Ovis aries: one gene and its partners. The protein of the gene in region 3 purifies or fractionates together with the protein of the main gene of each other region. This does not show direct contact. Links are inferred from orthologs where the notes say so. Each region holds a gene or a part of one and is shown on either strand. Other genes may lie near its edges.

Evidence for each region.
Region 1: the proteins of CDK19 (region 3) and MED12L purify together in Homo sapiens (affinity purification with mass spectrometry; 3 studies listed by BioGRID and IntAct, counting the BioPlex papers as one, with this or other methods). This does not show direct contact. The link is inferred for Ovis aries from reciprocal best matches to the Homo sapiens genes CDK19 and MED12L.
Region 2: the proteins of CDK19 (region 3) and MED9 purify together in Homo sapiens (affinity purification with mass spectrometry; 7 studies listed by BioGRID and IntAct, counting the BioPlex papers as one, with this or other methods). This does not show direct contact. The link is inferred for Ovis aries from reciprocal best matches to the Homo sapiens genes CDK19 and MED9.
Region 4: the proteins of CDK19 (region 3) and MED16 purify together in Homo sapiens (affinity purification with mass spectrometry; 6 studies listed by BioGRID and IntAct, counting the BioPlex papers as one, with this or other methods). This does not show direct contact. The link is inferred for Ovis aries from reciprocal best matches to the Homo sapiens genes CDK19 and MED16.
Region 5: the proteins of CDK19 (region 3) and CCNC purify together in Homo sapiens (affinity purification with mass spectrometry; 8 studies listed by BioGRID and IntAct, counting the BioPlex papers as one, with this or other methods). This does not show direct contact. The link is inferred for Ovis aries from reciprocal best matches to the Homo sapiens genes CDK19 and CCNC.
Region 6: the proteins of CDK19 (region 3) and MED8 purify together in Homo sapiens (affinity purification with mass spectrometry; 6 studies listed by BioGRID and IntAct, counting the BioPlex papers as one, with this or other methods). This does not show direct contact. The link is inferred for Ovis aries from reciprocal best matches to the Homo sapiens genes CDK19 and MED8.
Region 7: the proteins of CDK19 (region 3) and MED31 purify together in Homo sapiens (affinity purification with mass spectrometry; 6 studies listed by BioGRID and IntAct, counting the BioPlex papers as one, with this or other methods). This does not show direct contact. The link is inferred for Ovis aries from reciprocal best matches to the Homo sapiens genes CDK19 and MED31.

Annotation. Positions count from the first base shown.
Region 1 is NC_056054.1:237,456,019-237,459,518, forward strand, and holds part of MED12L (mediator of RNA polymerase II transcription subunit 12-like protein), read right to left. Parts: intron 2,881-3,500; coding exon 2,692-2,880; intron 2,088-2,691; coding exon 2,013-2,087; intron 1,896-2,012; coding exon 1,705-1,895; intron 870-1,704; coding exon 708-869; intron 1-707. UniProt on the Homo sapiens protein: May be a component of the Mediator complex, a coactivator involved in the regulated transcription of nearly all RNA polymerase II-dependent genes.
Region 2 is NC_056064.1:34,574,073-34,578,114, forward strand, and holds the start of MED9 (mediator of RNA polymerase II transcription subunit 9), read right to left. Parts: upstream 2,801-4,042; 5' UTR 2,732-2,800; coding exon 2,511-2,731; intron 1-2,510.
Region 3 is NC_056061.1:26,950,835-26,954,334, reverse strand, and holds part of CDK19 (cyclin-dependent kinase 19), read right to left. Parts: intron 1,096-3,500; coding exon 1,023-1,095; intron 645-1,022; coding exon 547-644; intron 1-546.
Region 4 is NC_056058.1:41,109,603-41,113,655, forward strand, and holds the start of MED16 (mediator of RNA polymerase II transcription subunit 16), read right to left. Parts: upstream 2,801-4,053; 5' UTR 2,696-2,800; intron 1,927-2,695; 5' UTR 1,800-1,926; intron 1,447-1,799; 5' UTR 1,402-1,446; coding exon 1,269-1,401; intron 722-1,268; coding exon 614-721; intron 362-613; coding exon 192-361; intron 1-191. UniProt on the Homo sapiens protein: Component of the Mediator complex, a coactivator involved in the regulated transcription of nearly all RNA polymerase II-dependent genes.
Region 5 is NC_056061.1:37,553,097-37,556,596, reverse strand, and holds part of CCNC (cyclin-C), read right to left. Parts: intron 3,234-3,500; coding exon 3,154-3,233; intron 2,073-3,153; coding exon 1,863-2,072; 3' UTR 1,125-1,862; coding exon of another isoform or gene 1,070-1,124; 3' UTR 515-1,069; coding exon of another isoform or gene 460-514; 3' UTR 1-459. UniProt on the Homo sapiens protein: Component of the Mediator complex, a coactivator involved in regulated gene transcription of nearly all RNA polymerase II-dependent genes.
Region 6 is NC_056054.1:18,067,155-18,071,390, forward strand, and holds the start of MED8 (mediator of RNA polymerase II transcription subunit 8), read right to left. Parts: upstream 2,801-4,236; 5' UTR 2,779-2,800; coding exon 2,773-2,778; exon of another isoform or gene 1,684-2,772; intron 1,438-1,683; coding exon 1,319-1,437; intron 313-1,318; coding exon 168-312; intron 1-167. Other genes in the region: KICSTOR complex protein SZT2, read left to right, coding at 2,957-2,983. UniProt on the Homo sapiens protein: Component of the Mediator complex, a coactivator involved in the regulated transcription of nearly all RNA polymerase II-dependent genes.
Region 7 is NC_056064.1:25,115,147-25,119,134, reverse strand, and holds the start of MED31 (mediator of RNA polymerase II transcription subunit 31), read right to left. Parts: upstream 2,801-3,988; 5' UTR 2,734-2,800; coding exon 2,706-2,733; intron 1,855-2,705; coding exon 1,777-1,854; intron 1,305-1,776; coding exon 1,208-1,304; intron 1-1,207. Other genes in the region: C11H17orf100 (uncharacterized protein C17orf100 homolog), read left to right, coding at 3,185-3,562. UniProt on the Homo sapiens protein: Component of the Mediator complex, a coactivator involved in the regulated transcription of nearly all RNA polymerase II-dependent genes.

The DNA of each region.
Region 1 (3,500 bases), on a different chromosome or scaffold from region 3:
TACATATTATAATCTGGAGACTTTATCTAACAGAACTTGGCCGATCAGATTATTTTCAATTCCATACAAAGGCGAAATTTCAGTGGACTCTGAGTACAATGACTATAACAAACCTAGACAGCGTATTAAAAAGCAGACATCGCTTTGCAGACAAAGGTCCATCTAGTCAAAGATATGTTCTTTCCAGTAGTCATGTATGGATGTGAGAGTTGGACCATAAAGGCGGCTGAGGGCAGAAGAAGTGATGCCTTCAAATTGTGTTGCTGGAGAAGACTCCTGAGAGTCCCCTAGACTGCAAGGAAATCAAACCAGTCAATCCTAAAGGAAATCAACTCTGAACGTTCACTGGAAGGACTGATGCTGAAGCTCCAGTACTTCAGCCACCTGATGCAAAGAGTCAACTCATTGGAAAAGACCCTGATGCTGGGAAAGATCAAGGGCAAGACAAGTAGGGGGTGGCAGAGGATGAGATGGTTAGATAGCATCACAGACTCAATGGACATGAATTTGCGCAAACTCTAGGAGATAGTGGAGGACAGAGAAGCCTGGCATGCTGTAGTCCATGGGGTCACAAAGAGTCAGACATGACTTAGCAACTATTAATAACCATCAACAGCAGAGTATAATGAGCACGTACATCTGTAGGACACTGAATTTTCTCAACCATTCTATAACCGCTCACATAGGAACAAAACTTCCAGCCATACCTTTTCTGCTTTTGCCTGTCTCTTTCCTTTTTGGAAGAAGAACCCAAGTGCTGTCCTTTCTCCAGCTCCTCCCCAGCTGCTTTCAACACTCTTCCCTGCACAGAAGTCGGCAGCCTGGCAATTAGGGGGGCCACCAGCCACACACCCCTGCGTTCAGAGGAACTAAAAATGGAAACAGATGTTATACCCAAGGATATACCCAAGGCATCCTTTTACTTTGCTCCCACAGTTCTGATCGAAACTCCAAAGCAAAACTTACATTCACAGGACACATGGGTTATTCTAACATTTGCCTTTTACTTCTATCCTCTGTTTCGTCTCACCAAATACCAGACATTTGCACACACTCTTCGTGCTTATGGAAACACTAAAAGGTGGGATTCTGCAAGGATACTATAGCTCAACTTTTTTTTAAAGTCTGGAAAAGTGGTTTTCTATGATTCTGGCTTTCTGAACACTAACAAGCAATTTGTTTTTTTGTCTAACAAGCAATATACCTTTCTCTCATGGTTAAAATATGAAACGTTCTGATTACATTTAAGCATTTAAATAACCAATTTCTAAAGATTCAAAATTCACCAGTTATACTTGACACCAAAATGATGAAATACAAGTCTATCTGCCTTTTGTAATTATCATTTGAGCAAAACTGCCAACTAAAAAAGATGGCAGAAAGAGTGTTTCCTATATTAAGAATACCACAGAATAGGGCAGCCTCAGGGCACATGAAAGAAATTCACCCCTATGGAATGTAAACTGTGGTTCCAAGGAGTCTGGGCCTGCTCAACCGCATATGTGGAATGCTCAGCTACCGTGCAGCCCAGCAGCATGGCCCTTTAACATATTAAATAATGATAATGGACACTTACAAGCAATTATTTTCCTCACATTCCTGCAGCTTTATGAAAAAAAAAAGTCTGCATTATCCAAGTAAAATGTGCAGTTACATGTGAAAAATGAATGATAGTTTTGTAAAACCACAGGGAAAAAAAAATACCTGAGAAATGTCTTTATTCCATTCTGCCTTGTGCTACTTGTATCAGTATTGCCAATCCCGTTTGGGCTGAAGAGGCCCACGCCAGCGTTAGAAGAGTTATTGTTTAGGTCAGCTGACTGCTGGAACACCTCTATTGTTGCCTTGGCAATATTGTCCAGCAGGTTGTTCATTTCAGCCACCGAACCAGAGCCCTGGAGTCAGACATGAGAAAACAAGCACTCCTGTGTTTTACTTTATCCACAAGCATCAATGTTGTGTTGCTTTTCATAAAACGGCACACACGTTCATGCTTTCATGAATATACTCACAGGGTCCTTCAAGCACTGTTTGATCATTAACTGAAGCTCCAGCCAGGACTGCCTCAGCGTCCACTGCTCAAGATTCTGGGGAAAATGGAGTTAGCACGTTAAGAATACCAAACATGTCTTAAAGTATAAGAATCCCCTGCAGTATTCTCTTTCTCAAAAAAACAGATGAATGATCACACACAATAAAGGGATTCATATGACACAAAAGGCTTCCAAGTCTATTACATATGCTCATTATAGAGACAAAGGAAAAAACAGCAACATTAAAATAATGTGCCTTACTCAGCTAGGCGTTGGAAATGAATAAGACAATCATTTCTTCTCCCAAAGTCTATCCAAACAACTCCATTACAAAATGATTTTGATATTTTATGAATAACATAATGAAGACAGTCCTTCTACAAAGCTTATTTCTCATGTAAACACAATAAATACTGACATGAATTAACATATTTGCACTTATACATACATAATGGTTGTATATGGTTTGCAGCGTGCGTATTTGCCCAGCAATAAAGTGTGGCTGTTACACAAAATGTAAAATTGGGGGAATAAAAATCAGAATTAATTGAAGTTAAGAATTAGCTAGCAATGACAAGAGAGACGCAGTAACTCCTGTATAAACACAAAGAACATGTCAAAACGACAGAAACACAGTCTTTAGACTATTTTCACTCACCTGAAGAATGCGTTTAATGTGCTGTCTTTGGAGGTTGTCCCCCTCCGTACATTCCTTAATGCCATGAGGATAACAGATGAGCTGCAATAATTTCTGTGCTTGCATATTTGAGAGCACAGGGTCCAGAATAAGTTCTTTGTCTGTGCATAATCTCTCAGGTTCCTTTAAACAATGTTCTCCTACCCATTCCTAAAAATAAGATGGCAATTAGATTGTACTAAACTCATGGCTCACAACAGAAAGCGGACAGGAAATTTTCCATTTAAAAAATAATAGATGGAAAAAGTAGGAGGGAAAAGGCTTAGAAATTTTCCAGTATTTTGACTTCTTAAAAGTATAAAGTAGAATCTTGGTTTTAAAAATTTTTTTAAAAAGGAATGCATGAAAGAAATTAGCAAAAAGATAAAAAAGGAAGTGGGGGAGAAAGCTCAGTAAAGAAAACACTAGTATGTGTTTTCAGTTGGAGAATGAAACTTTGCTCTAAATACTGTTTTGTAATCATTTTTTTTAACTTGCTATGTAACAGTAGTGATTCTGTATTATAATATGTATTCCTCACTTTCATGGAACATACTGTAATATATCCCACTGAATAGATAGGATATAGTGTAACACTGAGAAAACTGTCTTCCTTTTTGGTGTCATTATGAATAATGTTACCTTTATAAATACTTGTGCACATCTGTTCTCTGTACAATTATGTTCTTAGGATAATTTCTTACAATTGCTGAGTCAAGGATGATCAGTCCCCATATCACAGCAGTTAATCAACCTCAGTAATGCTATCCAGACATCAGTAATTTCTTAAG
Region 2 (4,042 bases), on a different chromosome or scaffold from region 3:
AATCATTCCATTTGGATGGCATATGTGCTAACACATTGTTATGAATTTAAGTCCCAAGGCAATTTTGAAATTAAATTATAGTTTTAAGAAAACTGATTCACAACACATAAGTCTGAAAGGACAAGGTACAAACAAACAAAAAAAAAAATTTTTTTTAAACAATAAGGTTCTACCATATAGCACAGAGAACTATACTTAATAGCTATGATAAACCATAATGGAAGAGAATATTTTTTTTAAAAGAATGTCCATATATGTGTAACTGAATCACTTTTCAATTTGTTTTGACAAAAATGTAACCACACTACACACATGGTTCTGATTCTTGGTTCTTTTTTCACCTGAAATGCACCTCGGACAGCTAGATGACATGGCTGTTACGAGTATGTGGATGTTTGTAACTGATCACCTGCGGTCTGAATGGGGATGACCATCCCACACCTGCACCTGTGTGTGCTGGGCACCCACAGTCCCCTCAGTCAGTGCTGCAGCTCTGCCTGCCACCACCTGCAGTTCATCCCTGTTCCTCCTCCTACTCCCCAGCTTCCTGTGGACCCCAGTCCTCTCCTCCTCCTAAAGCCCTCTGTCCCATCTACCTTCACAAAACCCAAGCACTAGCTCAAAAACTTCGGATGACTCCTCGACTCCCTGGTTCAGTGTCTCTGGGGTCAGACACCCAAGAGAGTCTATTTTCTTTGGCTGTCAGTTGAGAAGCTGGGGACAGGAAAGGGGAGGTATGGGTGAAGGGTGGGGCTGGGTCTCAATGTCCAGTCTGTGGACTTGCTCTCAAGCTCCTATTCTCAGTATGGCTCCCCTCCCCCAGCTCCCACAATGTGCCTAGTGTTCCCCAGTCCAGACACTCTGGCTGACTCTCTCCTAAAACAAATCTTGGGAAAGTACAAGCCTTTAAGCTGTCTGACCAAGGTCATTCAGCTGGTACCTTATAGAGCTATCATCTGTGGTTCATTTTTGGATGGCAACACCTATTCAATGGACATGAGATTGAGTAGACTCTGGGAGATAGTGAAGGATGGGGAAATCTGGTGTGCTGCAGTCCATGGGATTCCAAAGAGTCAGATACAACTGAGCGACTGAACAAAGAACAATTATTACTCATATATTAGAGATAAGAAAATCAAGGTCTAGAAAGGCTATGCACTTAACTAAAATTCCAACACAAGCAAGCATCAACATGCAGATCTGAACTCAAGAAGATCTGACTTCAAAGCCCATGTTCTTTCTCACAGACAATACAGTTCCATCTTTAAGGCCAGCCCAACCCAACTGCTCTATCAGGGTCAAAAATAGACTCGGAGAACACTGTGTGTTTTCATTTTTCCGTATTTTTTTCTAAAACCCGAATAAGCATATTTGGCTTGATCCTGGATAATGCCTGGGACTCCAGGGCTGCTTCTGTGTGTGTTTGCTTGGTCACTCTGCCTAGAAGTGCTACCTGATCACAGGCTCCTGGGAATAGAACAGTTTGCCTTGCCCGATAAACACTATGTTCACACCAAGTGAAGCCAGATGAAGTCAAGGTCTACTGTGACTACTGTGAGAACAAAGTCTTCACAGTCGTCTGAAAAGCAGTGGAAGTGTCAGGTCATCCCAGGGCAAGTGAATCTAATCCGCCTCAACTCTAAACCGGCTAGGCCATCACCAATACTTTTGTATTGTGAGTATCAATTCCATTTCAGCAAAACATCCAAGAGCATGTTGATGTTCACTTGAATGTTACTGTAAAAATAACAACTTTGTTACTGTAAAAGATTACAACTTTGTTGTAATCCACTTTGCTTTTATTTTTTAATGGCTGAATAAAAAGTTCAAGCCCAGGGGTTTAAACTTTGCTATCATGTAGACATAAATAACAGTTAACAATAATTTGGGCAAATGTGGGGATTGGGGAGATTTTGGCTGTGTGTGTGTGTGTGTTTTCCTTCTAAGGATAAGTTTGAAAACTCAGGTGATCTGAAGACTGGCCAAAAGCAGACAATCACCCCGTGTCGCCGGGACAGGGCACCCCAGTGCTGTCCGGAGGGCAGCGTCCTACTCCTGTAAAATTCCCAACATCACCCCTATAATCTCTTTGCATTATGGGTTATTCCGCTCATTAGTTTCCCCTTCTAACTGGTGAGCAAGGTGGGGATGAAAAGTCGGCCCCTCCACGTGTACACGCCACAGCACTTAGCAGTGTGCCACACATGGAAGATGACCCGTATCTGTCGGATCTGTGGGAAAACAGGCTCACCAGGCTGCACCCCAATGGTCTGCCCGCAGCGTCTGTGCACTTGCTGTCTACATCGGCTTCGTTTTAAGAACGCTGCTTGCCAGCACGGGGCCTGGTAACTCCCAGGAGGGAATGCTGAACTCTTGGGACTGCTCGCGGTGGCCTCGGCGTGGCCGCTCCCCTCCGGGTGTGTCTCCCCCTTGGTACCGCGGGGCGCCCCTGGATTTTGGACATGTGATGGGCAGCGGGGGCGTGCGGGCTGATTCCCCCGGGCCCTTACCATTTGATGATGCTGTGAACCAAGGGAAGGAAGGAGCAGTTCTCCTCCGCCTTCACGCCGGCAGGGGATGGAGGCTTCGGCGCGGGCTGCGGCTGCTGCGCAGAGACAGACGGCGGCGGCTGCGGCTGCGGCAGCGGCTTCATCTCCGGCAGCGGAGGCTCTGCGGGCGGCGGCAGCGTGTCCTCACCCTGCCGGCCGGCAGCAACCCCCACAGAAGCCATCGTGTCCCGGACCCCAGCAGCCGATCAGGGGGACAGTCGGCTTCGCGCGCCGGAAGTGTTGCTGATTATGACGTCACCATCGTGCGCCGCGGAGGCGGGGCCGGGCCTGGCGGTCGTTACTAGGCAACAGGCGGCTGGTCCTTGGTAGCCTGGATTTGGTGGTGCGCAGAGACAGCTAAATTTTTCAAAAGTCAGAAATAGAAGGTATACTTCAGGAATAACATCTCATTCCTATTCACGTTACAAAGAGAATCCAAAAGCAACCTGTAGAGGAAGATAAATGGGGCCTCAGGAAGAGTGGACAGCACCTCCGCACCTGCGGGTGTCAGGCCCTGGGCCCGTGGAGGATCCGAGGGGAAGGACCCACGGCTCCCACCCGCGCAGAAGCCTCCAGGGACGAGGTCTTGCGCCTACCCTATGGACCCTGAAATAAACCGAACAGTTAATATGCATCTTCTGGGTGACACACGCTGTGCTAACTGTGGGGGAAGGGTGAGGTCTGTCTCAACTTACTCCGAGCAGAGATGGCCGAAGGGGATTAGTACCAGGAATAAATACTGTATCCGAGGGAGAAGTCAGTGTCAGCTACTCTCCGTACCTGTGGGCCAGCTCCTGAAGCCCCCGGTCTCAGTGTGCTCACCTCTAAAATCTTTAGTTCAGGGTCATGGCAGAGCCCAAACCACTTTCCAACTTCAGACACATGGCTGACCTTTGAAGGTGTCCTTTGCATGAGCCCTGGGCTCTTAGGCGGAGAAGGCAATGGCACCCCACTCCAGTACTCTTGCCTAGAAAATCCCATGGATGGAGGAGCCTGGTAGGCTGCAGTCCATGGGATTGCTAAGAGTCGGACACGACGGAGCGACTTCAGTTTCACTTTCATGCATTGGAGAAGGAAATGGCAACCCACTCCTGTGTTCTTGCCTGGAGAATCCCACGGGCGGCGGAGCTTGGTGGGTGGCTGTCTATGGGGCTGCACAGAGTCAGACACGACTGAAGCGACTTAGCAGCAGTGGGCTCTTAGGTCAAAGTAGGGGACTCCTGGTGGGTTTGTGGGTATGTTCCTCAAAACAAGCCCTCCCAAGCCACAATGAGGGGGCTGTGTGATGGGGAGTGGCATCCTAGTTGGGAAGTACCCCTCTACTGAAGAGCAAGGTGGCCGGTGCCAAGGAAGCATCAGTGCTGGTATTTCAGAGGCATCTAGGAGGAGTCTGTAGAGGCAAGTCCCAGGGGAGGAGACTGTGGAAGGAAGTGGGGAGGGTGGACGGTGTGTCAGAGGGCACTTTGGTAACAGCCTTAGCACAGCTTTCTTAT
Region 3 (3,500 bases):
ACATCTTAAAACTGCGTTTAGCTAGTTGACATATGTAACACAGAAATTTCTCCACACAAACTTCATCAGCACTAAAAAGAGCTGACCGTGTATTTGCTTCAACAATGAAAGTAATTTTTTTCTCAAGAAAAGCTGTACCTCTAATATCAGTAAGTCCAAGCACAATTTATATCTGTGGGTATAATAAGGATGGGGAAATGGAGAAGTATAATAACGCAGCAGAGACACAGAATTTTAAAAGCTCAGTTCCCTACTGGTTTGGTGTAAACTGTTCTGGCTGACCGATCTATAATAAAAGTCCCATCTGTTCTCAGCTTTAGTTTTTGTCTGTAAAACTGACTAATGATCATTCCGTAAACTTGTTTTCATTCACACCTCTTTACAGCTTTGCCTGTTTCAAAGTACAGGACCTCTCGGCTAGTGTTTCCCGAGGTGGTATTAACCAAGGAAATAAAAGACTCGAGTAACAAGTGCTTCCCTTGCCTTTAGCCACCACCGCACACCTTCAACCTGGAGCAAAGTGCACAGAAAAGGAAGGATACATACTCTAATGTCGGCAAGGGGTCCTCCTGAAAATAGGGATCCTGCAGGGCCTGCTCGGAGGTAATTCTCTTGGTTGGATCCATCGTAAGGAGTTTTTGAAGCTAGAATAACACATAAGAAATTGACAGCACGGGAAAGTCTGCTTCCAGGGGAATGTTTGGACTGTGTTAATGGCTAACAGAATTAACATCAGGTGCCCGTTTATTAATACACTACACACATTTATGTGAAACTGACAGAAATGATTAGCAGTAAAGCCGTTTTAGAATTTTTTTTTTTTTCCTACTGGTAAACCACTGGAAACAAGGCTAAAAGTCAAGGGTGATATCTCAAAGGAAAAAGATTTAATTTTGCCCCAGCATCCACCAGTTTCCTTTTTTTCCTGAAGAGGAGGAAGAGCTGGGACAATTTCACAGTAAGTGGGGTGGGGTGAGAGCTGTGCTAAGGATCACCTTCCCACTCTGGAGAGATGCACCTACCAAAAGGAATACTTTGCTGTCAGGCTTGACCTTGTGTTTCTCCATGTACTTTATGAGGCTACTGTTGGCGTACCTGCAAAGACATGACATCCACACACTATTGAGGACATTCACGCAATTGACATCTTTTAATGGAAGGTTCCAAGGTTGGTTTTCCTATGAGGTATGTATTCATTTAAGCCATTGTTTTGTTTTGTTTTGTTTTCTGATTAAAAAGGAATACAAAACCAAATGTTGGTAAATGTGTAAAAAATAAATAAGAATTGTTACACACCGCATGTAAGAGTTTATACTGTTAGAATTACTTTGGAAAATAATAATGCATTAACCATTAGAGCTGAAAATGTGACTATCCTATGATCCAGCAATTCCTTCCTAGGTACATATTCTATATCAGGATATCAACTGCTCAGGCTGAGGGGTGAGTAAATGGGTATTCACTTTATTATTCTAAATAGACTACATATTTTCATTATGTATATTCTTTCCTACATATGAAATATTTCAAATTTAAAAGGTCAAGAAACAGGTAATACATGTTTATGGTAAAAAATTTAGAGAATATAAAAAAGTATAAAGAAAAATTTGAAAACACTCATAATCAAGCTAGGAAGCAATTTAAAAAACTCTTATCAAGATTTGATATTTTTCCTTTGGCATTTCTTCTGTGCATACATATATATACACACAAAGAGGTATTTGTTTTAATAAAATTGGAATCATAGTATATATAAGTTGTCCTTAATGTTGTTTTATAAATGTTTTCTCTTGCCAAACGCTCTTTAAGCTTTTTATTTGTACGGGTTGAACATTTTCTACTGTTACTAATGATACTTGTTTCACAGCACTTACAAAGTACAGATCCTAAATCTGGTACACATTCAGGGGGACAGGACTGCATGGCAGGTGAGAATCAGAGGCCCCTCCCAGACCCTGACTCAGTCATTTACCAGTTGTGCGATTTTGGGCAGTTAACTTCTATGAAAGCCTTTAGGTGCCTCATCTTAGCTATGTGTGGCTGCTTTGATGCTTTTTCAGGATAAAGTCTTAGATTTATTAAGTCAAAGGGTAAGTACATGCCAAAGCCTTTTGTGTGTGCTCTAGAACTTGCTACATGAACCTGGCCCTCAGACCAGTAGCATGGGCACCGGAAAGCCTGCACTAGGCATGCAGGTTCAGTTCAGTTCAGTTCAGTTCAGTCGCTCAGTCGTGTCTGACTCTTTGCGACCCCATGAATCGCAGCACGCCAGGCCTCCCTGTTCATCACCAACTCCCGGAGTTCACTCAGACTCACGTCCATTGAGTCAGTGATGCCATCCAGCCATCTCATCCTCTGTTGTCCCCTTCTCTTCCTGCCCCCAATCCCTCCCAGCATCAGAGTCTTTTCCAATGAGTCAACTCTTCGCATCAGGTGGCCAAAGTACTGGAGTTTCAGCTTTAGCATCATTCCTTCCAAAGAAATCTCAGGGCTGATCTCCTTCAGAATGGACTGGTTGGATCTCCTTGCAGTCCAAGGGACTCTCAAGAGTCTTCTCCAACACCACAGTTCAAACGCATCAATTCTTTGGCGCTCAGCCTTCTTCACAGTCCAACTCTCATATCCATACATGACCACTGGAAAAACCATAGCCTTGACTAGATGGACCTTTGTTGGCAAAGTAATGTCTCTGCTTTTCAATATGCTATCTAGGTTGGTCATAACTTTTCTTCCAAGGAGTAAGTAAGCGTCTTTTAACTTCATGGCTGCAGTCACAATCTGCAGTGATTCTGGAGCCCAAAAAAGATAAAGTCTGACACAGTTTCCACTGTTTCCCCATCTATTTCCCATGAAGTGATGGGACCGGATGCCATGATCTTCGTTTTCTGAATGTTGAGCTTGAAGCCAACTTTTTCACTCTCCTCTTTCACTTTCATCAAGAGGCTTTTTAGTTCCTCTTCACTTTCTGCCATAAAGGTGGTATCATCTGCATATCTGAGGTTATTGACATTTCTTCTGGCAATCTTGATTCCAGCTTGTGTTTCTTCCAGTCCAGCGTTTCTCATGATGTACTCTGCATAGAAGTTAAATAAGCAGGGTGACAATATACAGCCTTGACATACTCCTTTTCCTATTTGGAACCAGTCTGTTGTTCCATGTCCAGTTCTAACTGTTGCTTCCTGACCTGCATATAGGTTTCTCAAGAGGCAGGGCAGGTGGTCTGGTATTCCCATCTCTTTCAGAATTTTCCACAGTTTATTGTGATCCACACAGTCAAAGGCTTTGGCATAGTCAATAAAGCAGAAATAAATGTTTTTCTGGAACTCTCTTGCTTTTTCCATGATCCAGTGGATGTTGGCAATTTGATCTCTTGTTCCTCTGCCTTTTCTAAAACGAGCTTGAACATCTGGAAGTTCATGGTTCACGTATTGCTGAAGCCTGGCTTGGAGAATTTTGAGCATTACTTTACTAGCATGTGAGATGAGTGCAATTGTGTGGTA
Region 4 (4,053 bases), on a different chromosome or scaffold from region 3:
TCAGGGAGACACTGGGCTGAACCGTGGGGTACAGACAGGAACCAAGGGCTGTCACCACGTCAAACCACGTGGGAGATGCTAGCAACACAGATGCTGACAACTGGGTGGCAGGTGTGACAACCTGGCACCATGAGAGGAGGAGCCAAGCCCTCCCTGGGCTTGAGGCCTGCTCCCCCAGGCAGGACACCCACCTTTTCCACATGCAGGGCCAGTTTTACACCGTTGTGCAGCCAGGACAAGGCCACGATGGGGTCCCCTTCCACCACGCTGCCCACGGGGCTCTCCCAGCTGTTGGCCAGGTGGTCAGCCATGCTCCAGCACTTGATCTGCCCATCAGCATCAGCTGACAGCAGACGAGAGCCTGAGGGGAAGGTGGGAGATTGGGCAAATCTGCATCACAAGCCCCATCCCCGCCGTCCATCAGGGTGGGGGGGCCGGAATGTAGAAGTCGTAGAGCAAGGGACCAGCACAGGTGAGTTCAGAAACAGGGGCGAGAAGAGCAGAAGCCTCAAAGGCACAGGTCAGGGTTTCAAGTCCCAGCTCTGAGCCTAGGGCTAAGGCCAGGAAGACAGAGCAGGCAGCCCTGGCATTCAGGGTGGAAGGCTGCCCTCACCAGACTGGTCCCACTCCAGGCAGGTGATGGCCTCGCTGTGCTCTGAGCGGATGGAGTGCACGTCCCAGGGATGCTCAGTGTCCAGGATGTGGATCATGCGGGTCAGGTCTGCGAGGGACAGTGAGGTCAGTGTGGCAACCACGGCCTGGTGCCCGACCACCCCAGGGGATTGGGCTGTCAAAGCCTATCAGGAAGCGTTAAAGCCAGGCTGCAGGGACTCCAGAAACATGATTTATACACAGGCAGCCCAAGGGGAGACCCATGGCCTTCTGTGAGGTTACAACTGTGCTTTCAAAAATGGACCCAAAACACTAACAGCGGGTGTCTCTCCATGAAAGGTTAGGGTTCTCCTCATCCTAAAGTTTCACGTTTTCCTAATTTCCTCTAAGAAGTGCATATTGCTCTGTGGTGGGAAGAATATCTGCCCTGCGGCAGAGTGCACCGCAAAGCTGGTGGCAACACGTGCAGCTGGAAAACTCCTGCAGGAGCTTCAGCAAGCCATAAGTGGCCACCACCCCCTCTCCCCCAGCCCTGCAGACACGGCCATTCCTCAAGGTTATCTCTGTGCCCCTCAGCACCCCTGTCTCAGAGGAGGAAACCCCATGGGAGCTGGGGGGAGGGCCCTATGAGGGGGCCTGGGATGGGGGTGGCACACCCTGGTCATCGCTGCGCAGGTCCGTGGTGAAGGCGATGAGGTTGCGGCAGGACCAGGTGCAGGCAAGGGGACCGGATGGGCAGTGGGTGCTCTTGGGCCATTTCTCCCACTCACAGATGTAAGCCAGGTCCATGGTGCCCAATTGCCAAGGTCACACAGGGAGGACGGTCACCAGCTCCTACAGGAGGGAAGACAGGCTTGTCATCCATCTTCACAGGGTGCCTGCAGGGCCCCGAGTGCGGTGGTGGATGCTGGTTACCACGGGGGACAAAGTGGACTCAACCCCTGCCCTGTGTGTGGCCAGGGAACTGCGTTTTACACAAGCATGGCCAGGGATCAATCCATGCAGCTGGGAGGAAGAGCATGCCAAGAGGAGAGAACAGCCAGTGCAAAGGCCCAGAGGCTTGACTGAGCCTGGGATGCTCAAGCAGTATCCAGGCCTGCAGAGCAGGAACAGAGTGAGTGGGGGCGAGAAGCAAGGTAAGGTTGGGGAGGGGATGAGGCAGGTCTTGCAGGGCCTGGGGGTTTTACCAGGAGGAAGATGGGAGCCCCAAGAAGCCTGTTTCTGTTTCACAGGCCCCTCTGGCTGTCTGAAGGGCACGGCTGGGGAATGGATGGTGGCGCTGGTCCAGGTGTACAGTGACGGGGACAGTGAAAGCTGCGACAAGAGGTAGCACCCAGGTCTATTCTTAAGGAGGACACAGGAGAACCAGTGAGGCTGCCTTAGACAGAGGTAGGGAGGCAGGGTGGGGGTTAGGCAGCAACTTGGGGCCTGGCTTCCAGGGGTACAGAAAGGGTCAGTGAAAGCTTGCTCAGCAGGCTCTTTGCACCCAGCCGCGACTAAGGTTATTTCCTTTCACCTTCCCAATCACATTACCCGCTGCTTCTTAAAGCCCCGCCCCAGAACACTGACACCCCGCCCACAAGCCCAACCAACAGTCATTTTAAGCTCTGCCCCCAAAGCCCTCCGGCCCCGCCCCTACAAAATGTGCCTTCCAGACCTCACTCTCAATTTGTCCCTGGCGTCCCCAGGCCCGGCCTAAACTTCTGTTTTTATTCCAAAGTCGCCAAAACAATCCCAAAGCCCCTCCTCCACACACCTGGCCACCTGGCCACCCAGGACCCGCCCCAACCCACCCGACAGTCCCTAAGCCCCGCCTCAAATGCATCCCAGGCCCTCCCCGGGGAGGTACAACCTTAGGCCCTCCCCGGTTTTACACCGCCCAACGCAGGGAGCCTCAGGTCACCCCAAATTTCCGCCACGACCCCCCAGACCACGCCCAGAGCCCTCAGGGAGCGTACCCAGCACCCTCTGCTCTCCAGGACCGCCCTCTGACTCCACAGGCCCTGCTCCGACCCATAATCCCAGCAGCGTCGGCGCCATCCGGAGGCTGGCCGACTGCCCAAGCCCCCAGCCCCACACTCACTGGACCAGCCTGTACGCCCACCGAGAAGGAGGCTGCCGTCTGCATTCGCTCTAACGCCCCGGCTCCGGCGCCGCCATCTTCCCAGGACCAACGAGTCTCCCGCGCAGCCCGGCTGCTTCCCGGAGACTTCTGGGACCTCAGTGGCTCCGCCCCGCTTCCGGGGTAATTTGCATACAATCGTGCCTTTCCAACAGCCATCTGCGTTATATTTGATGGAAAAAACAAACTTTCTCAATTTAAGTGAATAATCCCCTTAGATTAGGCCATTATTGCACTAAGTTAGTAAAAAAAAAGGAAAATTGCTGTATTGGTTTTTGATAGAATTCGCCCTCAGCGTAAAGTATTTGGTTCTGTCTACTATAAATAGTTCTGGCGTCTGTTCGTGGTTTGTGCTCGCTTCGGCGGCACATATACTAAAATTGGAACGATACAGAGAAGATTAGCATGGCCCCTGCGCAAGGATGACACGCAAATTCGTGAAGCGTTCCATATTTTCGCTTTTTATCACGATGTCTAGCCAACGTGTAACTCGCTTATAAGCCAGGTAACTCAACCCATCAAGGGCCGGTAGAATCAGTCTCCATCCTCAATTCCTCCTCCAAAAGCTGTCGGACTCTCCCCAGTCTGGAAGGTCTTTTCCAGAAAGACATAGGATTGATTGCAGGGAAGGGTATGACAGAGAGCAGGCAACATCTGGGCAAAGGTCTGGGGGCCGGGCTGTCTAGGGACGCGGTGTGTGGAGAATCTACACAGCCAACCAGGAAGCTGGACAGGACGGAGTCCGCGTGGGTCTGGAGGCAGCCTGTGGGCTTGCCCTGGGCCCCCCACCCGTGCCCTGAGCCCCAGCCGGTCCTCTCAGTTCAGTTCAGTCGCTCAGTTGTGTCCGACTCTCTGCGACCCCATGGACTGCAACATGCCACGCTTCCCTGTCCATCACCAACTCCCTGAGCTTACTCAAACTCATGTTCATCGACTCGATGATACTATCCAACCATCTCATCTTCTGTTGTCCACTTCTCCTGCCTTCAATCTTTCCGAGAATCAGGGTCCTTTCCAATGAGTCAGTTCTTCACATCAGGTGGCCAAAGCATTGGAGTTTCAGCTTCAGCATCAGTCCTTCCAATGAATATTCAGGACTGATTTCCTTTAGGATTGACTGGTTTGATCTCCATGCAGTCCAAGGGACTCTCAAGGGTCTTCTTCAACACCACAGTTCAAAAGCATCAATTCTTCGGGGCACAGCTTTCTTTATGGTCCAACTCTCACATCTATACTGGAAAAACCCTAGCTTTGACTAGACTGACTTTTGTAGGCAAAATAATGTCTCTGCTTTTTAATACACTGTCTAGGTTGGTCAT
Region 5 (3,500 bases), about 11 Mb from region 3:
TGATTCCTTAAATACAATTTTAAAGTTTAACTTAAGGAGGGAAAAAAAAAAGACCCTCATTTATTTGACTTATTTCCTTTTTTCGGTCATTCAGTGACCAAAGAGAATTTTAAACAAATTATGTTTCATGTTTTCTGGCTTAATAAAGAGTTAAAATTTCTATTATCCAAATTAAGAAAAATTACACTAATCAGAAGCTATTAATTTTCAAAAGTCTATGTATGTCTGTCTGTAGGTCCTCTTAGAACCTTTGCAAACTTTCATAAACAATAGATTTTAATCAATTATGTATCAGAATCAAATTAGGTAAGGAAAACATTTTGCAAAAATAAAATCACTTCCCAATATGCTTGACAGAAACAAGCTATTCATTTTCATTTGTGTTCCATTGAAGACATTACTGAAATCTGTCCAATGGTTTATTTCCAACTGGTCCACTATGAAATTCTTCGGAATGTTTTAAGATTGGCTGTAGCTAGAGTTCTGACTTCCATTTGGACCCTGCTCTCCTTCACTGTTCAAGTGGGGAAGAAAGAGATTTTACACCAATTAAAACTCATTTTCAAAACCCTAGTAAGCTACTAATTTTTAAAGTTATTCTTTGCTATAGCTTTACAAAACAAAGACATTTCCAATCATAAGATACAGATGTGGAAAAATTAAAATCCAGAAGACTACATTTGGTTTTATGTTTTTATTCTTATGTAACTTGGTGCCCTCACACATATAGCAAGCATTCTGGAAGTTAGTGTCCATACACACTCAAAAATTTAAATTAGAGTATTTTGTTGTCATTACAGGTATCACTCAACATAGAGATTCTTCTAGACAAATTTCCTATGAAATTAAATTATACATGGAAAATCTTATTCCTACTAATAATGAAAATCAAGAAATGTTCTTCCAAAAAATCATTGTCCAAAGGCATAATAAAACCATACGTCAATACAGCAAACCTTTAAAAGTCAGAAAGAAATATGGTAATTTCCTGTAAAGCACTGAATATTTAAACACTGAAACTGAAAATACCAGTAATTGTGGCAATAGGATAATTGCCTTATCTTGTCCATCAGCATCTTGCAGCTTCAGGCCCTGCAACTAGTGAAGAATCACTCAGGGAATTTCTGCAAAAAATGCATCCAAAGGCAGCTGTTTGAATGACTGCTTTAAACAGCTCCTTGTAAAAGTATTAATTTTTCCAAATGGTAACCTTAACATACCAGATCTACAAATCAACCTTAATGTTATATAACTTATTTATTTTTCTTGATAAATGATTAAGATGGGTAGTTTCCCTTCTGACCTTTTTCCCCTAAACAAAATGATCTGATGTACACTGACATCTGAAAACCACTGAACTTAAATGAATTAAGTTAAAAACCAGTTAAAAAACAATATAACACATAAAAAACCCCACCACAACAAAAAAACCCTTTCAGCACAAGTAACTCATACTTAGCAAAATTATATTATGTGCAATGGATCTCTGAGTCACTCGAAAGTCAAAATTATTTATCTTTACAGTATCAGATCAATAATCTAAGTTTTTGAAAAATGATACTGAACTTTATCAACAGGGTTAACAGCCACTACTGGGGGAAAAAAGATGGCACAGAGTGAAACTGACATGGAACTACTCCAAAATTCTTTATCCCTGAATTTTAAATGGACTTGCCTATCTCTGTTCTGTTTAAATTTATTTAAGTATATAGCCATATGTTGAGGGATACCTGTAATAGACCTGCCGTTATATCAGGAAAAGTTACTTAACAGATGATCAGATTAATATATTTTTTTAAATGAGATGTTTTCAAAATATTAAGTCACAAAAAAACACGTATCATGAAGTTTTAGAAGACATTTTATAAAAACAAAATAGCATACTCTATTAAAAATATAATGCCTATGAAATATATAATTAAATAAAAGCAATAATTAAACTCTACAAAGTACCTGTTTGGAGGAGGTTTTGGTTTCGGCATCTTACTAAGAATAGTTGCCATCTCTTTTCTCTCATCAAAATTTTTCCACTGCTCATACAACTTTAAAATAACCCTGATTATTTCCAAAATCTAGAAGAAAATATTTGAAAAGTTCTCAGTGGCAATATCAAGCAACATTTGGTATATAAAGAACACACATCATATCCTAGACATCATTTAGGAAACAGTGAAAAGATAGTCTCTATCCTTCAGATTAGGTTAGTCAATCCCAGTAAATGTGAAAGCACATGTATGCTAGGTCTTATCCTTATCCATCTCTTCTGTTGGTTTCCTTCTATCTACTGATATCTGAAACCAAAACAAAACAGTGAGGTACTAGGAACAAAAGTCTAAATCATGAAAGAGAATACCACTATAGAGCACATGTATTCTCAAGTCATATCCAACTCTTTGCCACCCAATGGACTGTAACCTGCCAGGCTCCTCTGTCCATAGGATTCTCCAGGCAAGAATACTGGGGTGGGTTGCCATTTCCTCCTCCAGGGGATCTTCCTGACCCAGGGATCACACCAGTGTCTCCTGCATTGGCAGGCAGATTCCTTATTACCGAGCCACCTAGGAAGCCCTACTACAGAGTAAACTCCTCTAAAACCACTGTTTCAAAAAATTTAATGAGCGGTAGTGCACAAAAGACTTTGTTTTGATTCTCTACTAACTACTCTACAAATGAGTTAAGGTGCTCAAAAACCAGCAGCTACAAATCTATCAAGTCCAGTTTCCAAATTAGATCTTTATTTTCCCCCTGAGTAAATCTATCCTTGGACTGATTCTAGAACATTTCAGCAAAAAAGGTAGAAAAAAGGGCAACAATCCACTGTCAGGAGATAGGCTGTGTTACTGGAGTTTACAGTAGTATTACAGTAGTCACTAGGTAGCTTTTAAAATAATTTTGGCAATTAAGAGACTGCTTTGCAACCAGTCAAACACTAAGTTTACCATTCTATGTAATCCTAAACTGAAGAGAAATATAACCTAAATGGTCAAAATCAATTCTTCTTCCCAACATATTTCTTAACATTTTTTCTTTTAAAACCAAAAAGTACTCATTGCCTGGCTGACATCATGAAATTTTAGGCACATGGTAAATAAATACGACATTAACTTCAAAATGTTCAAGTTTATATTCAGTTACGGGAATTCTAAAGATTACCTTCTCCATATCCACAGAAAGCTCAGCAAACCACTGTCTGGCATCTTTCTGCTGTACAACACAGGCTACATGCAGGCAAGCTGGAGAGAAAATGAGACACAAATTCCATGTTTAACTGCACATGGAATGTATGGAGTCAGAAAGATTCATTCACTTATGTGTATTTTATTATATTCTTTTTAAAAATTATACAGATTCATATAATTTATTAATTATATAACCATCCCATCAATTTAATCTTACAGGGAGGAAAAATTACTGGGTGATATATAATTTTTGTTTTTAACGTTTTTGACACCTGCTCCTCATGGTGAGCATGAGGTGAGCTAGTCATGGTGCAGTTCCCT
Region 6 (4,236 bases), on a different chromosome or scaffold from region 3:
ATTGAAATAGGACAGAAGGACAAAAAGCAAGGCCTCCAAAATGTAGCCCCCACTTATTGCCACACACTACTGCATATTCAAAATTTCTAGATAGAAACCAACCACTGTGCTGTCAGTCCTCATTTAAGGGCTTTGTTTCCTAAGCTGCATCCCTCTCCTCCTCTTACCATGAGATCTTCATCTCGGTCTGGGGACAACACCAGAGGGATGATGACCTGGTTGCGGAACAGTGGTGTCTTTTCATGCTTCAAGACCTTGTTCAGAGTGTTCAGCTGTCCAGAAAGCAAGGCAAAGCTGTCCAGGACAGATGGCCTGGTGGTGGTAAGAAGATGTCAGCATGTTCCTGGTAAAGGAGCCTCAAAGGGGTCCCTCGGACTAGGAATAACCAGACTCACCCCCAAAACACTCATAGCCCTATGCTGGCCTGGGCAGGAACTAGACTGGCTCGCAGGGATTATGGGGTTAAGAAAGAGGGATACACTTTGAGTTTCTGACACAGATGGAGAAAAAAAACAGGTCATTATAGCAATCCCCACTTATCCTAAGTTTCACTTTCTGAGGTTTCGTCTACCCGTGTCAACCACAGTCCAAAAATATTAAATGATAAATCCAGGAAATAAACAATCCATGTTTTTAAATTGGGAGGTGTTCTGAGGAGTGTGATGAAATCTTGCTTCATCCCACTCTGTCCTACCCAGGATGTTGATCACCCCTTTGTCCAGCATATCCATACCGTATACGGTACCCACACAAGTAGTATAGAAAAAAAAAAACAACAACCCACAGTATATACAGAATAGGATTCAGTACTATCATAGTTTCGGGAATCCACAGTGGGTCTTAGAACTTACCCCTGATAGATCACGAGGAGCTACTACATTTGAATGGGGTGAGGACAATGGCAAAATAGGAACGATGGCTACACTATTATCACTAGAACTTCAGAAACCGGGTGAAAGATCCCTTTCCAGATCCAAACTTTCCTAGATTGGACCTAAAAGACTTGGCAAAACCCGTGCAAGAAATCCAGTATGAATACTGTGGTGGGAGGACCCACTGCAGGAGGACCTCATCCTGGAGAAGTCAAACAGGGAGAATCAAAAGCTAGAAAGAACCTGGGTTGAGAAATTGGGCATTTCTCTACTACCCTTAAAGTTGAGGTCCAAGGCCAACTTCAGTGTTAAATGTTGGGAAAGCCAGCTCTTTCTAAATCAAAAGATGTTCACAAAGTGATAAATGCTGGAGGAGGTACCCTGTGCAGCAGGTGGCCTAGCCCCCACCCATAGAGCCCTCCCCAGCTTGCCCTGGCAACTCTTACCAGGTCAGCCGGTCATACTCGTTCTCCAGCTTGTAAATGAAACTCCCCAGTGAGTTCTTCAGATCAGCCACTTGACTCAGCAGTGCATCTAATGATGCCTCAAGCTGTTTTTCCTCCCTCTGAGCCAATAGGAATAGGTTGGTTACTCAGCTGAGTGTAAGGATGACACATATAGAGGAAGGCTGAAAAGCCAGGGTGACAGTGTGCAACACCAGGACAGTGACACAGAATCTCATTGGCACAGGGACAGTCAGGCTGTTTCTGTCTCCTGTCAGCCGGGCTCCACCCCTATTTGGAGTTAGGATCACAGACAGCATCAACCCTTAGACCTTAAAACCCATTCATCTGACCTCAATTCCTCTTACCTACTGATTCCTTCCTCTCATCGCTTTTAATCCGGGCGTGACTGTTTCTCTATATTAGGCTTGGTTTGTATCTGTTCTCCCTCACTGGACAATTTTCACCAGACGTAATGCCTGGGATTTATTCTGTTCGGCACACCTCAGCAGCAGACGTACTCTGACGTCCTATGTTCTAGAACCTGCCTTGTGAACCTGGCTGTTCTTGGCAATGACATAATCTCTGAAAACCTACCTATACAGGAAGGCTCCTCTGAATACTGCCACCGTCACCTTCCTCTTCCCTCAGCATTTGCTGTTTCAACCTCCTCCTTGCTAAATCAATCTGCACTCACTTTATTGCTGTGCCAATATTCCTGTGCCCCTTTCGCAAGCTTAGTCAACCTATAAAAATGTACTGACAACTACCCTTCTGCAACAAACAGTGACAAATGAAAAACAAAACAAAACAGCAACCAAACCGCACATGCCCCTAAGCACTAGGCAAACTATATTAAAAGCTGAGGGGTCTCCAGTTTTATCTCATTTCACCCTTTAACTACTAGGGGTACACACTAGGAAGAATGAAACAGAACTGCAAAACCCCGAATGTGGAGGACACGAGCCGGGTTCCACCCACGGCCTCAGATTATTTAGTCTGGCTTCTGGCCACCACGGTCCCACAATTCCTTCCACCCTCGGGCTTCTCTCCAGTTAGATCCTCTGTTCTGTCAACATCCAACGTCTAGGCCGGGGCCTGAGCCCGAGCCCAATCCACCTCTTTCTTCAGCCGTCTTCCTTGGACTGCACCTTCCCAAATTTCAACTTGATCCTTTTCCACACCCTATCAACAACTTGATCCTTTTTCCACACCCTAGCAAGACAGTGCTGCCTTCTCCGTCCCAACCTAACCGCAGTTTCTGTCTCCTGTCAGCCGGGCTCCACCCCTATCCCTCTCCAGAGGTCCTCGTCCCCATCGCGCGTCCCTTTATCTCACAGTCGCGGTCTCGACCAAGTCCTCTCATCCCTAACTCCTCACTCTCTCCTCGGCCAGCCCACTTTCTGTCTCGTTACCCCAAGCTAGCTACCCGTCGCTAGCGCCAAACCGGTCCTCACCTGCATTGCTGCGGCGGGGGGCGGTGTCAATCACTTCCTCTTCCGGTTCCCAAGTAGGCCAATTAGAAAGCTCAGAACTCGACCCTCCCACTCACTTCCGGCCCCGCCAGTCGCGAGACCTCCGGGTCAGGGGTCAGGAGCGGAGCATCTTCTCTGGCCCGGGCCGGCGCGGGAGGGCTGTGTGATGGCCTCGGAGCGCCCGGAGCCGGAGGTGAGGGGCGGGCGGGCGCAGCGCTGGGCCTGTAGATCCGAGGGGGAGGGTCCGGCGGCCAGGCGCGGCCGTGGCCTCCTCCGGGTCTGGGGGCCGCCTGGCCCTCCTGAAGGCCCAATAGTAGCATCTCCTCACCCCTACTTTCCTCGGGGAGGCCTAGAGGAGGAATTCGTGGCTCAGTTTTGTTTGCCGAAATTTAATCCACGATTCTCTACTCTAGGGCTCTTGGGTTCTTTGACCTCGTAATGGCATTCAGAAAATCTGTATTTTGATCTTCTGTTGCAGTTTCAGTGGGCAGGTTTGCCGGTTGCTGCCTCATTCAAATATTATTGGAATGCCATAAACAGCATAAATTAATTAGGTTCTAGCGCTCATGCAATTGGAGAGCAGCTTAGATTTCATGAAAAAACGTTGGATTCAGAGTGAAACCTCGTTCTGGTATTGGCGCTGCCCTGTAGCTATCTGTGCAACTTTGGGCAAATCTTGACTTCCCGGATCCTGTTTCCTTCTTTGTAAAATATCTATCTTCAGGTCTATTGTGAGGATCACACGTTTTAAATGGGAAAATGCAAATGAAGCATCCATTAAGTACGAAGGACCATGCAAGGAACTTTTGTATACATTGTGTGGTTCAGACTTGTGCAAGGAAGGTGACAATACCCATTTCCATATACAGACAAACTAAAAATCGAGGGAAGTGAAGTACCTTACCCAAGTGCTACTCTCAGCTGGGGAGTGGCAGAGTTTTGTAATTAGAAGTCTAAAATGTCAGATTTGGAAAGAAAACATCACTAGGAGAGTTGCCCAATGTTACAGGAGAACATGTGAGTGGATGGGAAGGGTGAGAGGTGTATAATCATGTATTGAATCCTTACCTATCGAATGCTTACTGTGTCCCAGAGACCATCTTAGCGCTTTACCAATGTCAAAGATTACTCTCAACCCTACACAGTAGACACTTATCCCCATTTTTCAGTTGAGGAAACTGAGGCACAGAGGTTTTAAGAGTAACAAAGTTGCACAGCTAGTAAGTGGCAGAGCCAGGACTCCAAAACAGGTGGTCCCTTGTGATCTTGTGTTCTTAGCCATAATGTTTACAGTGCAAAGAGAAAGTAGCCACAGGATGGTAAATCTCCAGTGCTAGGATTTGATGTAATGAGATCCAAGATTAAATACAACTGTAGGAAACTACCCTATTAAAAAGGATCAAATGTGCTCACAGGGCTGGTGGAGTAGCCTAGGCATCAGAAATA
Region 7 (3,988 bases), on a different chromosome or scaffold from region 3:
GGCTACAATCTATGGGGTTGCAAAGAGTCGGACACAATAATACAAGGAGGAACTTTCTGGAATCTAGCTAACAACGGAATTGGCTGCCCCTGAATTAGTATGTGTTCACTAGAAACCTCCAGCCAGTATACAGATGACCATCTCAGCAATGTTGTGGGTAAAATTGAACCTGACGGTGTCCAGGGCTCAGTGTCCAACACTGAGTCTCTAAGTCTATAATACATACATATAACATGTTGCAATCTAGTAAAAAAATATATATATTTTCTCTGGATTATTAAATGAATAAGTGGTTCTTTTATAAAGGGCCAGTAAGGGTGGAAAGGGTCCCACAGGCAAAAGGAGGATGTGGACTTCATAAAGCAGCTGTTATTAGACAGAGAAAAGTGGCTTGGCCAAAGTACAAGTCTTAAACATTCTCCTCTCAAACTTGTGTCTGTTTAGGGGAAAAAAAAGGCTAGACATTTCACCACTGCTTTTTGACTACCTATTTAAGACAAAGCAGAGGTGGGTGTTCAAGGCTTATTTTTTATCATTAAAAAGAAATGTTTGTGATTACAATATGCTCCTTGCATTTCAGTAAGCCTTAAAACGAGAGTATCTATTGCACAACCTGAATGATAAATTCATGTATTTATTATGTAAGATATATAAAATAAGAAAGCAGCTATTAAGACTCGGGTACGGTTACCTTCTCCAGAAACCCTTGCTTACAAGTAAGTACCTCTTTCTATGTTTTTTCATTTTCAGGCTATGGCTGTCATTGCATATATGGACTGCGGGTTCCTTGAGGTCAGAAACTCAGTGAGATGCAGGGAGTGGTACAAGATAAGGTCAGAGAAGACAGGGACAGATCACACAGGGCTAAGAGACGAGATTTTCTTCTGCATGCAATGGGAAGCGACCAAAGGGTTCTAATGGAATGTAATTTCTATTTTTAAGAGACCAAGTTGGCTTCTGTGCAGAAAATGTTTCTTCTTTGTTTGGCAGGGCAGGGAGAAAGGAGGAATACCAATGAGTAGATACTGCAGTAATCCCAGTTAAGTTAGAGATGATGTGTCTCGTATTAAAATGGAGGCAACTGAAAGGAGAGCAGAGATTCAACAGGTATTTTTTCCAACGTGAAAGTAAGAAGTCTATTAAATATCAGTGCTTTGGAATATAATAAAAGTACACACATGTTTAGGACTATAAAAATTAAACTTACTTTAGATACTTGGCATATTCTGGTTCTTTCCAGTAAAGCAAGTACTTAAGATAATTAACAAAAGCTTTATCTTTGAAGTAACCTCTTTGGGCAAGAACTGAAAGGCATAAAAAAAAAAAAAAAAATACATCTGTAGAGCACACCAGTCCTTGGACTACTGATCTGTGACTAACATAATCGTAAAGAATTTACTTACATAACATTCCCACCACCAACACACACTGAATTCAAAACAGAAGTCCCAGTTTGCTCAATTATATATACCAGTATAAGTGCAACAGTCATTCCATTCAGTTAAGAATGTACAAAACTAGATACTAAAGTCATCTCTCAGAATCCACAGGGAGTTGGTTCTAAGAGGCCCCGCAGACACGAGAATCCACAGGTGCTCCAATCTCCTGTACAAAACAACATAGTGCCATGACAGTATTGTCACCCTCAGGATGGGCAGATTCCACCAACTGAGGTTGCCTCCAAGGATACAAAGGGCTGACAGTACTATGAATTTTGACTCTTCTATCAGAAATCGTAACTAGCTATTCACTTCAATGAGGTGCTCAACAACTTACAGTTAAGGTAATTTGGGTTGGCTAAACACTGTACAAATTCCAACTCCAACTGAAACCGCAGTCGATTTCCAGCATCATCTAGGAGAGAAGATAGCAAAATCATCCAAAATAAATGTCACTGTATATAATACTGATTTTTAGACAGAAAACAGCAGTACAGACATCTGACTAATGCTGAGTTACATAAAGAAGAGCATGCAAAGGTTTTCCTAAACTGGGTGTAGGAGGAGAAACACCTTCCTTATAAGTCTAAGGAAAGCAAAGCCCTGATTAAGAAAAAAAAAAAAAAAAAAAGGTTTATCTAAAGTTAAATTATCAAAGAAAACAAGATTATACATGGAGCAGAACATTAATCACTCGTGAGCCACCATGTTGGGACTTCACAGTGATCACTAGGATAAGCTGCAGCAATGTGCCTTGCCTTATTTTGATAGTGCGTTACAAGCTGTTAAGTGATCAAGCTTAGCAAAAACAAAATGCTAAATCCATCAAGAGACGTTCAGAATGCAAGATGAAAGAGACCCTGGTGAGTATCAAGAAACGCGTGCTTACGTGAGACCCGTTAGTGGCACAGTAATACAAGAGTTCGCTGACGATATTTTAAACTTAGGCAAGCTCATCTGAGATGCAAAAAAACAACTCGAGGAAGCGGTTTATGATCCAAAATCTCTCCTTTAGTCTTCTGGAAGCCGGTGGGGCCACTGTTTGAATAACTAACGGGGAGAAAGGATCGGCCAACAAAACAAACTCTGAAAAGGCCAAATTACCTTCGCCCTTCCAGTCGCTAAAAAAAAACCCTGGTGCCTCCCGCTCCGATCACTCACTCTGCCGGGAGTTGGGCCTGGATTCTCAAAAAATCCCGGGAAGCAGGTGTCTGGACCCGGGACAGTTTCTATTTGACAAAACGCGAGGCTCAGAGCGCTACTCACCTGTCTCCATAGCGACGGCCGCGGCCATCACCAGCAGACACTCTTAAGTCCCCAGCAACCCCACACAGCCAGGATCGGAGAAACAGGGAAGGTCCGGAAGTCGCAGCGTCCCCTTCCTGCCGCGGGGCAGTGTGGGATGCGGGGGTGGGCACAGCTTCGCAAGGGGGCGGGTGGCTCCGCCCATCCAGGGCCCGCCCCGCCCCAACCCCGCCTCCACCCGGACAGGTTCTTGACAGGCTAAGGGGCGATGCGGGGGCAGACGGCGCTCTCGAGGGGACGAACCCAGCGTTCCCAAGGAATCTTAGGCCTCCCCGCCCCAAGATCACGGTGCCTCCACGTGGTTCGCGGGACCCTCGACCACCGCTCTGCCTGCATCACAATGGCATGTGACGTCGCTCCTCACCGTATAAAATAATCCTTCGGGGATTGTGGGGCTGTGGGGCCTCCAAAGGTCAGCTTGGCCCTGTTACCCCCATAAGATGGCCTCACCCCTTCGGGGAAAGCCCTCTCCGGCCCGGGCGGAATCCATCCGCTCCGAGGAGACGGCGACGGTCAGCGTGGAGACCTCGTCCCACCGCGTGGAGACATCCTACCGTCACGTGAGGACATCTTCCCGGCAGGTGGAGACCACCCAGCGCAGCAGCGAGGGACCCTCCGTCTCCTCCTCTGGGAAGCGGCTCCCTCGAGTCCTCGAGGTGTCCTCCCAGCACGTGGAAACCGCCTCGCAGCTCACAGAGACGGCTTCCCGCCACGTCAGGGCCTCGTCCCTGCGGGTGGAGACGTCTGTGCACCGCGTGGAGAGCACGCCGCGGCGGGAGAAGCCAGCCGCCCGCCATAACATCCAAAAGGCCCGATGAAATGCTGCCTTCCTCGGGGCCACGAGGGGGCCATGGCCCTTGGCCAGGGCAGAATCGCCTCCAGTTCGCAGCCTGCCTGCTGCCAGGTGGACCGATCATCTTTGGTTTCCTGGAAACAGTCCACAGATCAATTTAAGAAAGAGCCAAGCTGCGGTTTCGGGATTTAGCCAACATTCATTGACCCTCCTGCACCTTGGACCAAAGGCAAGCCTTTGACCCAGTGAACTATTTTAATTTGAAGCCAGCATAAAAAGTTTTTAGGCTCTAGATACTGTATGTGTTAAGCTGATGGAAAAGAGACTGTTTGAGCCTCCAAGGCAGGTGAGTTTTGAATTGGGGGCCCTTTAAATAACCTTGGCTGCTTCAAACCTGGAGAAGGAAATGGCTACCCACTCCAGTATTCTTGCCTGGAGAATTCCATGGACA